Macaca fascicularis: one gene and its partner. The protein of the gene in region 1 interacts with the protein of each later gene in a biochemical or structural test. Links are inferred from orthologs where the notes say so. Each region holds a gene or a part of one and is shown on either strand. Other genes may lie near its edges.

What was found. The genes of interacting proteins can lie anywhere in the genome.
Region 2: the proteins of CDC34 (region 1) and SKP2 form a complex in vitro, tested with the Homo sapiens proteins (3 studies listed by BioGRID, with this or other methods). The link is inferred for Macaca fascicularis from reciprocal best matches to the Homo sapiens genes CDC34 and SKP2.

The regions. Positions count from the first base shown.
Region 1 is NC_088393.1:1,082,948-1,089,379, reverse strand, and holds the start of CDC34 (ubiquitin-conjugating enzyme E2 R1), read right to left. Parts: upstream 3,509-6,432; 5' UTR 3,337-3,508; coding exon 3,160-3,336; intron 1-3,159. UniProt on the Homo sapiens protein: E2 ubiquitin-conjugating enzyme that accepts ubiquitin from an E1 ubiquitin-activating protein, and catalyzes its covalent attachment to other proteins by an E3 ubiquitin-protein ligase complex. In vitro catalyzes 'Lys-48'-linked polyubiquitination.
Region 2 is NC_088380.1:36,456,277-36,462,608, forward strand, and holds part of SKP2 (S-phase kinase-associated protein 2), read left to right. Parts: intron 1-1,107; coding exon 1,108-1,242; intron 1,243-3,135; coding exon 3,136-3,234; intron 3,235-4,389; coding exon 4,390-4,520; intron 4,521-6,332. UniProt on the Homo sapiens protein: Substrate recognition component of a SCF (SKP1-CUL1-F-box protein) E3 ubiquitin-protein ligase complex which mediates the ubiquitination and subsequent proteasomal degradation of target proteins involved in cell cycle progression, signal transduction and transcription.

The DNA of each region.
Region 1 (6,432 bases):
GTGTGTGAGGGACCCGAGGCCATTCCACTCCCGGTGCTGGTGTGCTGGGGGTAAGGCTCGGGCGTGTGCCTGAGGGTGTGTGTGAGGGACCCGAGGCCATTCCACTCCCGGTGCTGGTGTGCTGGGGGTAAGGCTCGGGCGTGTGCCTGAGGGTGTGTGAGGGACACCCTATCCCAGCCAAGGCAGGGACTCTCATGGGCCTGGGGCCAAGTCCCCAGCAGGCTGCCTCAAGCCTTTTCCGAGTCACCTGAGCTGATCCCAGCTCCTACACAGTCCAGGTGGCCGCGGCCTGGCCCAGCACAGCCGCTGGAGAACGCAGGCACTGGCTGCCCGAGTGGCTCCAGGCCTGTGGCAGCCCAGGTCAGGCACATGGGACCCGGGCCAGGGGCACCCACCAGCCGACGGAACGGACTGGCAGGGGCTCCAGGTTCCCCTCGGATGGAGCTGAGGCCCAAGACCAGGCTGCCCCTCCAGGGCCGTGGCAGGCACGGTGTGGGGAGGGTTTGCACAGACGACTGCTCACTCAGCAAACACTGACACCTGCCGGGCCCCGGCCACGGGAGGGGATGAGTCAGCATGGCCGTCTGCCCTCAGGTGTCCAGTCTTGTGGGGTCAGGCAGGCAGACCCACAGGTCACAGAAGCCTGGCAGGACTCCTTCCCTGTCAGCATCGCCCCCTGTGGCCATCCAGGCCCTGGGGGTCCAGGCCTGCTGGCAAGGACGGCCACAGAGGAAGGACTGCAGCCACGTGCCCGGTGACAGAGCTGTCTGGCCTGCGGCCTGGGGCGTGACGCCACCCACGGCCCTCCTGGGCCCCAACAGGTAAACAAGGAAGCCTCACTGTTTCCTTCCTGGGCCCCAGTGCCAGGCACGGGGGTGTCTGGGTCAGGGGTCCTGGTGGCACTCAGCACTCCAAGAGGCTGAGGGCAGCACCCCCAAAGAGCAGTTGTTGGCGAGGTCCTTCCTGGACAGGGAGGGCTCTCAGGGGTCTTGGGGGTGTCCTCTGTTTGACAGGGAACTCACTGGGGCCCCATGAGGTAAGGGACTTGGCCACAGCCACAGAGCAAGGCTGGAACTTCAGGCTCAGAACTGCCCAGCAGTTCCCCAAGACTCCGGGCCCCCCAAGCCTGGTGCTGGGTTTCCAGGCGGCCTCACCTGCACCGAACCCCACCAAGTCCCAACAAACCTCTTATTTTCAGCACCTCCAAACATGTCTTTTACCCGGAGCAAACCCAGGCTCCGAGAAGCAAAGCCCCCGCCGATGGCACACGGCAAGTCCGCCGTGGAGGGCTCTCTCTGGTGGCCCCTGCCCCAGGGCTCGCTCTGGCTCCTGAAGGAACAGCGGCTGCAGGCAGTGGCTGGGCAGCAGCGGTGGCCCTGGGCACTCAGCAGCTCCTGTATTTCCACGCTCCCCCAACTCCCTCCCAGGCACACGGGGAAGGGAGAGCCCCGGTGGGTGGCAGCACCCCCCCGCGTCTCAACGCTGGCCTCTGAGGACTGACCCTGCGGCAGATGTCTAGAGGCCCCCTCCCCAGGAAATCCGGAAAACCGGATTATCCCCTAATGCTGGTCCAGGAGGCTCTGCCCACAATCCCTGGCAACCGGTCTGGTGGGCAGGAGCCAGGAACCCGCATCCCTTCCTTCCAGAACAGCAGCCGCCTCACAGGCCTGGCCTCGAGGTGGGGCCGCCCCTGCTCACAGCCAGCTGCTCCCCCAAGCAGAAAAAAGGGGCTGGGGGAGGGGGCTGCTAAAACCATTTGACAACCTCAAGGCTCAAACTCTGTTCCCTGTGTGGGGACCCACGATTCCAGATGCACAACCCACGGACGTCCCACCCTCTGCCGTAACCCAGAACCTCAGCTCAGGAATCGCCCCCAGCAGACCAGGCTGCTGCCCTCACAGCCGCTGAGCGCGCGCGGTTCAGACATTAATTAGCCCGGAGAGCACACGCTCTGAGAGGCATCGGTCCCTCGGCCCCATGCCCGCAGCTGGCCGGGGCAGAGCAGGCCCGGCTGTGCCCAGGCTCTTGGCAGGCAGCGACAGCGGGAGGGGGGATTCCTGGACAGGGTGCGCGATCCCCACCTCTCACACGGGGCCCCTCACTTTGTCCCTCTGGCCCCAAGGACGAGGTCCTGGAACTCTACAAGAGCCAAAGGTCACGTCTGGATCGTGAGATCAAGAAAACTGGCCAGGCTTTGGCCTGAGTCCTTTCCACACTGGACAGAAACAGTCTCCCTGCTCCCAACGGCAACAAAAACATCAAGAACCTGCTTGGAATGAAACCGCCAGAGGGCAGAAGGAATGGCCCAGAACTCGGGGTTGGGGTCACAGGAAGCCACCTGTTCAGTGGAATCTGAGAAAGGCCAAGGCCAGCTGGGATGAAGCAGCCCGGAGCTTCTGAGGTCGGGGTCCGGGACGCGGGCCGGAGCCGGGGGCCCGGGGAGAGCTGCAGGGAGCAGGTGGGAGGGACGCCCCTGCCTCAGCCTTCCCGAGGGCGCAGGTTACATAAACCCGGGGATGGAGCCCAGGGCGCCTGGCCGGCTGCTATCGGCAAGGGTGGCCGCTTTCCAGGCAGGGCCCGGCTGCCAAGGCTCATCCGGGCCTTTGTTGGAGCCTGAGCGAGTGGCCGCGCCAGCCACCCCCAGGCTGGCCTCGCTCCCCCGCTCACAGGCCCAGCTCCCCAACAATAGCAGCTGCGGGGTCTGGGGGGGGCCTCTTTGTCTCCTCCGGGGAGGGCGGGGAGGGCAGCAGAAAGGCCGGGGCGGCCTGGGCTCCGCTCCCTCTTTCTCGCAAGGGCGGAGGGGGAGGCAGCCGGGGTCGAGCCCCCCCCAGGAAGGAGGTGGGCAAGAGCCCCACGCGCAGATGATACCGGGAGGGCCCCGGGCCACCCTTCTGCGGGCCAGGAGACTACCCGGGGACCGGACGGTGCCTTCAAGGAAACTGAGAATTCTCGGGGACCGCAGCAGAGGCTGAAGGTCCCCGGGACCGTCCGAGGAGGGGGCCGGGCACAGCTGGGTGGGGAGACCCGGCCATAGAAGGGAAGCGAGCCCAAGCCAGGAGGCTGCCGGGCCCGCCCGGGGACCGCGGGGCAGGGAGCTGGTTCCTGGCGCCCGAGGTCGCTCGTGGGCTCAGGGACCCGGGCGGGGGTCGCCGCGCTCACCTTGAAGTAGCCGCCCTCGTAGTAGGTGTTGGGGGGTCCGAAGATGGCCACCTCCCAGTTGTACAGGTCGCCCTCGTCCACCAGGGTCACGCGGAAGCCCTCGACCGGCTCTTCCTGCAGCCCCTTGAGCTCCAGCAGCAGCGCCTTCTGCGAGCTGGGCACTAGCGGCCGGGCCATGGCGGCGGCGGAGGGGCCCGGGGTCGGCGCCGCGCGGGGCCGCGCGACCACCGCGAGCTCGCGAGACGGGCCGGGCCGCGCGCCGTCCGGGGGGGAGCCGCCGGGGCCGCCGCCTGCCTCCTCCTCTGCGCCGCCGCCGCCGCCCGGGGACCCCGAGCGCTCCACCAGCTCTGGCGCCGCCGCCCCACCAGCGCTCGCCTTGGCCCGGCCCGCGCGCCCCGCCCCCCGCTGCGCCTGCGCGCTCCGCCCGGCCCCGACTGCGCCTGCGCGCCGCGGCCAGGCCCGACCTGCGCCTGCGCGCCCGCCCGCGGGGCACGCCGGGAAGTGGAGTCCCGGTCCCGGTTCCGCCTACCGCGCCGAGCGCCGCCGCCGGGAGGGAGGGTTCGAGCGCGCAACCCTGGGCGCTTCCGATCCCCGAGGCCGCCGCCGTCGCCCCCAGCTCGACCAGTACCGCGGACGCTGTGCGCACGGAGGCGGGCAGGGCTGCTCTGGCCGTGGCTGGCCCGGTCCCCCAGCTTTGGGGTCGTTTTGTGACGTCCCGGCGTGGGGCGGGGCTGCGGGCGGTGAACGGGGCGCGGGGCGAGGTCCTGACCGGGGCCGGAGGGGCAGGGCCGGTTCCCCCGGCGCGACCCCGCGTCCGCGCCTCCGTTTCCCCGTCTATACAGGGGACGGGCGCTGAGTCTGTCCTGGGGCGCGCTGGCCTCGCGGAGGGGAGGAGCGGGAGCGAGGCGGGGTGTGCAGACCCGGCTTCCAGGCGCGGCGCTGCCTCGGTTCCCCCGACAGCGGGAGCTCTGAGAAGTGGGCGAGGTCGGGGAGGGCTCTGAGGGCGGGAGGGGGCGAGGGCTTTCCTGGTCCCCCGTTGAAGTCACCATGTGGTGTGAGGCGGGTGCAGGTGCTGGAGCCATCAGAGGTTGGCAAGGTGCTCCTGCCCCCCAGAGAAACTGGGAAAGAGGCTCCCCCCAGCCAGCATCGGCTCAGCACCTGACCCGGGAGAGGCGCCAGCCCCACGGAGCCCCCACCCCAAGCTGAGCCTGAGCCTGGCTGTGCCCTCCTCCCAGCCTGACCTCTGTCCCACCCAAGTCTTTTTTTTGAGACAGTCTCGCCCTGTCGCCCAGGCTGGAGCGCAGTGGCACAATCTCACTGCAGCCTCCACCTCCAGGGTTCAAGGGAGCCTCCTGCCTCAGCCTCCCGAGTAGCTGAGATTCCAGGTGTGCGCCACCACACCCGGCTAATTGTGTCTTTTTAGTAGAGATGGGGTTTCACCATGTTGGCCAGGCTGGTCTCGAACTCCTGACCTTAAGTGTGTTAGGTTTTGGAAGGAAGGGGAGGGTGCAGTTTGGAGTAACAAAGTGATCCGTCTGCCTCGGCCTCCCAAAGTGCTGGGATTACAGGCATGAGCCACCGTGCCCGGCCCCCCAGAGTCTTGACCCCACCTGACTTCTGACCTGGCTGAGTGGCTGCCCAGACACCCGCATGCTCGTTGCCCTGAAGCTTGGTCGGGAGAACTGGCCATGCTGAGGACAGGGCAACCCAGCCTCCCCTGAGTGGTGCCCGTGACTGCGGTGGCCCTGCCCTCGGACTGTGCTGGTGGCATTATTGCTATGTCCTGGGTACACACAGCTGCATCAACAACAGGCGGGGACCAGGGCCACTCCCTCCCACAGGTGCCCCAACACGGTCAATATCTCTCTTCTTCCATACACCCCACATCCCCGGAAGCACTGTGGGTGCGGGAGGTTTTTCTTTTCTTTTTTCTTTTTTCTTTTTTATTTATTTTTTATTTTTTATTTTTTTGAGACAGAGTCTCGCTCTGTCGCCCAGGCTGGAGTGCAGTGGCGCGATCTCGGCTCACTGCAAGCTCCGCCTCCCGGGTTCACGCCATTCTCCTGCCTCAGCCTCCCGAGTAGCTGGGACTACAGGCGCCCACAACCGCGCCCGGCTAATTTTTTGTATTTTTAGTAGAGACGGGGTTTCACCGTGGTCTCGATCTCCTGACCTTGTGATCCGCCCGCCTCGGCCTCCCAAAGTGCTGGGATTACAGGCGTGAGCCACCGCGCCCGGCCCTCTTTTTTATTTTTGAGAAGGAGTCTTGCTCTGTTGCTCAGGCTGGAGTGCAGTGGCACCATCTTGGCTCACTGCAACCTCCGCCTCCTGGGTTCAAGCGATTCTCTTGCCTCAGCCTCTGGAGTAGCTGGGATTACAGGCATGCGCCCGCACGCCTGGCTAATTTTTGTGTATTTAGTAGAGACTGGGTTTCTCCATGTTGGTCAGGCTGGCCTCGAACTCCTGACCTCAGGTGATCCACCCGCCTCGGCCTCCCAAAGTGCTGGGATTACAGGCGTGAGCCACCGCGCCCAGCCTGGGTGGGGGAGATTTTCTTTTCTTTTCTTTTCTTTTGAGACGCAGTCTCGCTCTGTCTCCCAGGCTGGAGTGCAGTGGTGCGATCTCGGCTCACAGCAAACTCTGTCTTCCGGGTTCAAGTGATTCTCCTACCTCAGCCTCCCGAGTAGCTGGGACTACAGGTGCCCATCACCACGCCCAGCTAATTTTTTGTATTTTTAAATAGAGACGGCGTTTCATCGTGTTGGTCAGGCTGGCCTCAAACTCCTGACCTCATGATCCAGCCGCCTCGGCCTCCCAAAGTGCTCGGATTACAGGCGTGAGCCACCGCGCCCGGCCTGGGTGGGGGAGATTTTCAAGCCCCTCCAGCTGGGTCCCACAGGGCCCCGACCCCCAGGGAGGCTCAGGCTCATACCGCCCTGAAGACGGGAACACCACGGGATTCCACCTGCCTGCTTGGGGGCTCCCTACTCTGTGGCAATGAGTTCAAATTGGACTGCCTCAAGCCCTGGCTGCAGGGAGGGGTCATCCAATCAGTTTCCAGGGTCCCCACCCTGGGCTGCAATGATTGGTTCAGGAGCAAGCATGTGACTCCTGACATCCAATGAGATTCAGCCCTGGGGCGTTTCTCTGGGATCACAGAGCTGGGGTGGCTGAGCTGGAAGGACCCGGGCCTGGAGCGACGGGATCATGTCACCACGGGGCCTGCGAACAAAGGCAGCATCCCGGGAAAGCTGAGCCGGCTGATGAGAGGGG
Region 2 (6,332 bases), on another chromosome or scaffold:
ACTAGGTACTCAACAGAAAAACAAGCTGAAGACAGCAGAGCTAAAGACAAAACATGTCTCTTGACTCCAGTACTTTTTCCCTTCTTTCTGTAGTCAGAATCGCCTCTCCCACTGCTTTTTATCCTGTTCCTCCTGCGGCTGTTCCTTCTCAGTCTCCTTCACACATGTGATTTCCTTTGTTCAATCCAGGGTCGGTTCCTGGCTGCCACCTTTTTCAAATCCAAATGCTGTCCTTGGACAAGCTGTGTCCTATACACCCACATTTATGCCCAGGACTCTCAGTTCCTCATCTATAGCTTGGCCCTCCCTTTCAAACTCCCAAATTTCTAATTACTTAAAAACTTCTGTACCTGAATTTCTTACGAGTACTTCAATATTAGCATAACTATTATTAAATTTGGTCTCCCCTCTTTTTTTTTTTTGAGATGGAGTCTTGCTCTGTCACTGAGGCTAGAGTGCAGTGGTGCGATCTTGGCCCACTGTAACCTCCGCTTGCTGGGTTCAAGCAATTCTCCTGCCTCAGCCTCTCAAGCACTGACTTGACTGCAGTGCTTGGACTGCAGGTGCGCATCACCGTGCTCAACTAATTTTTCATATTTTTAGTAGAGATTGGGTTTCACCATGCTGGCCAGGCTGGTCTCGAACTCCTGACCTCGTGATCTGCCCAACTCAGCCTCTCAAAGTGTTGGGACTATAGGCGTGAGCCACTGCGCCTGGCCTGGTCTCCCTTTAAAACTTGCTCTTCCACTATCTTCCCTGTTCCATTGCTGCTCACCCATTCACCCCTGCTAGAAACCAGGAGCTGTTATAGTCTCCTTGTCACCCACGTCCGGCTCATTGTTGTGATGCCCACTCATTAGTTTCTAAGTGGGACTATATTAGCAGCAACATCTGTACTTGGCAAAAATCCTTTTGAATTTTAAAATGAATGAAGATGGGAATACACTAGTAGCAATTTGTTTTATGACCCTATAGTTAATGCTTGAAATATGTATTTAGAGTCTTGTTTGTGATTGACTGCTCATTTGGGGAGACAAAGGGGTCTGATTTGATCGGATGTACCTGTGAGAGCCACCTATGGAGCCCCTTTTTTCTCTCCGTGTTTAGCCCTTTTCGTGTACAGCACATGGACCTGTCGAACTCGGTTATAGAAGTGTCCACCCTCCAAGGCATACTGTCTCAGTGTTCCAAGTTGCAGAATCTAAGCCTGGAAGGCCTGCGGCTTTCGGATCCCATTGTCAAGTGAGTGGCAGCCGGAGTGTCGCAAAGGCAGTTGTTTTTATGTGTATGAATTTTTTTCCCTGTATATATATATAACTGGAGTGCCCTTCTAGCCATATCCAGGTGGATACAGAAAATTTCTAGTGCAGGGCTCTTGCTTCTGCAAAACTTTTCAGGACTCATTGAAGCAACAGAAGCTTGAATGCTAACTATATGCCAGGCCCTGTGCTAGTTTCTAGAGATACAAGGATGAACAATGCATGTGTATTATTTGGAAGAAAATGAATGCTCCAAAACTTTTCCCACATTGTTAGTGAATGCTGGTTAAGCTATAGTTTACCTTCTTGCAAGAGGAAACATCGAGCAAGACATGTCTGTTTCCTCTTGCAAGAAGGTAAACTATTTATGAGCAAGACAGATAATTACCATGCTAGTGTGTTTATTAAATATTTCGGTGAATATGTGGCAACACGCGAGGAGCCGCCTTCTTAGAGGAAGGAAGTGACTCTTGAGTATTGAAGATATCTAGGTAAGAGATCTCCAGGTAATAAGATAAAGCAACCAGTCTAGGTAAAGCTTCCTATGTGGTTCTAAACTCTACGTGGTTGGAAGTTACTGGAGCACAGGACTAAGGGAGGGGAATGACAGGAGGTGAGGAGAGTCAGGGACCAGATTGTAATAGGCCCCTGTGCCTTGCTGTAAGAAGAATGGACTCTTCCATCAAGAGGGAAGCATGGGCCAGGTGCGGTGGCTCACACCTGTAACCCCAGCACTTTGGGAGGCTGAGGTGGGCGGATCACCTGAGGTCAGGAGTTTGAGACCAGCCTGGCCAGCGTGGTGAAACCCTGTCTCTACTAAAAATACAAAACTTAGCTGGGTATGGTGGTGCATGCCTATAATCCCAGCTACTCAGGAGACTGAAGCAGGAGAATCACTTGAACCCGGGAGGCGGAGGTTGCCATGAGCTGAGACCACGACACTGCACTCCAGCCTCGGTGACAAGAGCAAAACTCCATCTGAAAAAAAAAAGGAAGCATGGTGGAGAGAGTTGTTCTGAGAGTGGAAGGAACACGTCAAGAGTTGAAATTTAGGAAATGAACTTGCCAGGCACCATGGAGGGTCCATCGAGGATAGAAGAAGCTAGAGTAGTTAAGGATACTGCTGTGTTCATTCAAGTGAGAAATTTTGAAGTCTGATATAAAACAGATAGCAATAATAGCAGCTAATGTTTTGGGGCATGTATTATGTGCCAGATAGTGAATTTTGTAAATGCGTTTTCATTTACTTCTGACAGCAACCCCATGAAGTGTGATCTTACTTGTTTCCTTTTTATAGCTGTGGAAACTGAGACATGGGGAGACTGAATAAGTCTTTTCAGGGTCACACTGTTAGTAGGTGGCTGAACCAAGATGTGAACCTAGTGATATACTATTTCCAGAGTTCTTACTCTTAATCACTAAGTTTTACTAACACAGGGCATTTGGGGATGTAGTAGAGAAGATGGCAAATTTGAGAGATGTATAATCAAAAGAACCTGGTGATTTTACAAGTAGAAGTTTGCAAGCTAATTCTAATTATGGGTGAAATGGATATATGTTTATTCCATTGTGTTTTTAATTCAAAAAGTACATTGATTGATATTCTTGTGTATTTGCTTCATAGTAAGTCTTTTATCACATTATATCATTTAATCTTCTTGATAACCCTACCAAGAAGGTTTGATAATGCCATTTCACAGGTGAGTAAACTGAGGCAAATTATCCTGTTTGATGTCTGAGAGATAGTGATATACATTTTAAACTCACTGACTCAAAGACCTATGAACTTAACTACACTTGCCTGCTTTCATCTACATGTTGTTGATGAATAGCGTCTTATTGGTCTTTTTCTTCTGACGTTTTTCTCTTTTTCCAGTAATCTCGCACAAAACTCAAATTTAGTGCGGCTTAACCTTTCTGGATGTTCTGGATTCTCTGAATTTGCCCTGAAGACTTTGCTAAGCAGCTGTTCCAGGTATGAAAGATGTGACTTGATTATAGACTCTTATATCAAATGTAAAATTATCCCTCACATCTGTATAAAATTGGATGAACTTTTTGAGCTTTTTGTAACTTTCCAGGCTCTTGATTTGGTGAATGCAGCGTCTTTTGTCCTCTAAACTTTCTGTCCAAACTCAGGAGCCGAGTCAATTGAGTTTGCAAGCGATACTTTTTTATCTCTCTTTTGTTTATTTGGAACTATTAAAGAAAGGGAAGTATAGTAGTGTCTGTCAACAGTATATTTGTAAGAAATCAACTCACACTTAACTATACATTCAGGTTTTTTCCCTTATGGTATCTGTAGACCTAACTTACAATTTTTGATCAAATTTTGTGTTTTATAAATATAGACCATAAATTTGGGCAATTCTATTAACAATAGCTTTCATAATAATGTCAGCACATAAAGGGTACAGAGTTACAGATGTTGTTAAGTGAGGGGAATACATGCTTTTTGGAATACACAGTACTATGCATATGTGTGTTTTTAAAAAATATCCCTTGGTCTCCATGGTACATCTGTGTCTTGTTAATGGTCCATTTAAAATAGATTGCCTCCGGATATGAATGATATCAGTGAGATCAAATGTATAGCCCTATATTTAGTCAGCAGTGCCAGAAGTGGGGAGTGGGGATTCATGGTTGTATTTTGTCTCTGAAACCCTCGTTTTTGCTCAGTTAGCAGAGGCACAGTAAGATGAAGTGGCTTTTTGCAATGTCAGCATCTCTTTTGTGCAATCCTTCAATTGTATAAAACATCCTGAGTGATTGTTCAGTCTGTGTTGGGTGGTTGGTAGTCTGAGAAGGCAAACATAAAAGACTAGCATTTCTATCTGCAGTACTGGAATAAGGTTTGAGCCATCAGGAAGAGAGTGCTTCTCTCCATTTCCAGGAGGAGGCAGCATTCACCAAGGCCCTTCTGATCCCCTGGCAACTTTCAGGGGCAAACAGGGTATACTTAGGAGACTAGAGGTAGCTGCTGTTAGAGAAGCAGGTGTTCTATGCATGAAATGATAAGGAATCAATGGCTTTGCATTTTCTTTGTTTGCGGTTTGAGGCAAACTCATTCCTGTGAGTTTTAATTGGTTTCATGGTTTCATATTTTCTTTATTACCCCTCTTTTGTGCAGACTGGATGAGCTGAACCTCTCCTGGTGTTTTGATTTCACTGAAAAGCATGTACAGGTGGCAGTTGCGCATGTGTCAGAGACCATCACCCAGCTGAATCTTAGCGGCTACAGAAAGAACCTCCAGAAATCAGGTTAGAGCTTCCAAGCCTGAACCACTGAGGCCTTCACAACGTAATAGATGAGATTCATTGAGCTTCTCCTAATCGTTCCTCCACATAAGTTTTCTCATTTAATCCAGTGCATGTGTTAGTCCCCTTTTGCAGATGAGGTGGCTGCTAAATCAGAAGGGTTAGGTGAAGGTAAACAGCTAGTGAGCTAGAGCCAAGGTTTGAATTCAGGATCTAACAGTAGAAACCTTTACACTTGAAAACAATTTATTTTTAAGCAGAAAAACTTTTAATCAACTAAATGATTAGATAAACTCCAACATAAAAATACATAAATGTAGCATTTCATTAGTATTAAATAGTGGTTCTTCATTAGTTAATGGGGCTATTTTGTCTGTATGGGGACATTTGTCAATGTCTGGAGACATTTTTTATTGTCACAGCTGTAGGAATGCTGCTGGTCTTCCTTGGGCAGAAGCCAGGATGCTGCTGGACGGTGTATAGGATGGAGCATATTACGCACAATAATCTGGTCCAAACATCAGTTCCAAGGTTGAAAAACTCTGTTATTAACTCTGTTAATAAGTTCATATTTATGACTTTTACTTTTTATTCAGTCCAAGAGGGCAACGAGGTTTTTTAGATGAAAACAGGCCTTAGGAGTCAGGGGTAGCAGGGAACAGTCTTTAAAAACCTTAATATTCAGTTACGCTTTGTTACTGAATGTTAATGAGAAAATCTTGTATGTTACTTGTATGTTAATGAGAAAATCTTGATTTGCAAAGATAAGTGATTACAAATGGCAAGTTTTTTAAATGGCTTCACCGTCGCAGGCCAACATTCAGTTTGTGGGCTATGCAAAACCTAGTTAAACCAGCAACACACATCAACCGTATCTCGATGTTAGTACTAGCTTATTTGAGTGTATTTTGTTTATTATAGTTTTTATTATTCTGAAAAAGATTTGAATCAAACATCTGCAGAATATATCTTAAAATTTAAGTAGTATAAAACTACTTCTCCAGGACAGACGTCCTCTGGTAAGATGTATAAAGCTATAGAAAATAATTGCTAGCCTCTCATGAGTGGGCAGAGATTTGAGTCTTTCACCTGTGCAAGGACTCAAATTTGGACTACTGCCATTCCAAACACTTGCATTTTCAGACAAGGTGAATACTTTCTTTAGCAAGCCGTAAAAGCAGCAATCATGTCTTCATTTCTTACCACTCTCCCCACCCAGTATTTATAATTACTATTTTAAAACTGATCATAGCATTATACAGTCATTTTAAAAAATGCAACATATAGAAAAACGCAAAGGGAAGCAAATTATCAATAATCTAACATCTTGCTAGGCTTTTTCCTGTACAAACACTGTTTTTTTTAAATGGGACATAGTATATTAAATACTTTGTAATATGCTTTTTTCCCCCCAGATAACCCCATTTTCAGTGGCTACATTATGTCATCATCAGTGGCTATGTGATAGTCCATCAAATGGATATGGAATAATTTATATTAAATCAATAACAATTTATGCAGTTGATCTTCTAATGGACATTCAGAATCTTCCCAGTTTTTCTCTACTATAAACAATTTTATGAGTGACAGAGACAAATCTTTGGATGCATTTCTAAGGATGGATTCTTAAAAGTGGAATTGCTGGGTCCAGCATTAGGTACTATTCTCAAGTTTTGGATAATTTCTGCCAAATTTTCCTCCAAGAAGTTTAAACTCCCACCCACGAGCATCCTCTTGGTGTGAAATTCCATCAGTCTTGGTTCTTCTCTGTTTGTCTGCAGGTGAAGGGAAGGCAGTGCCTTGTTTATATTTCTT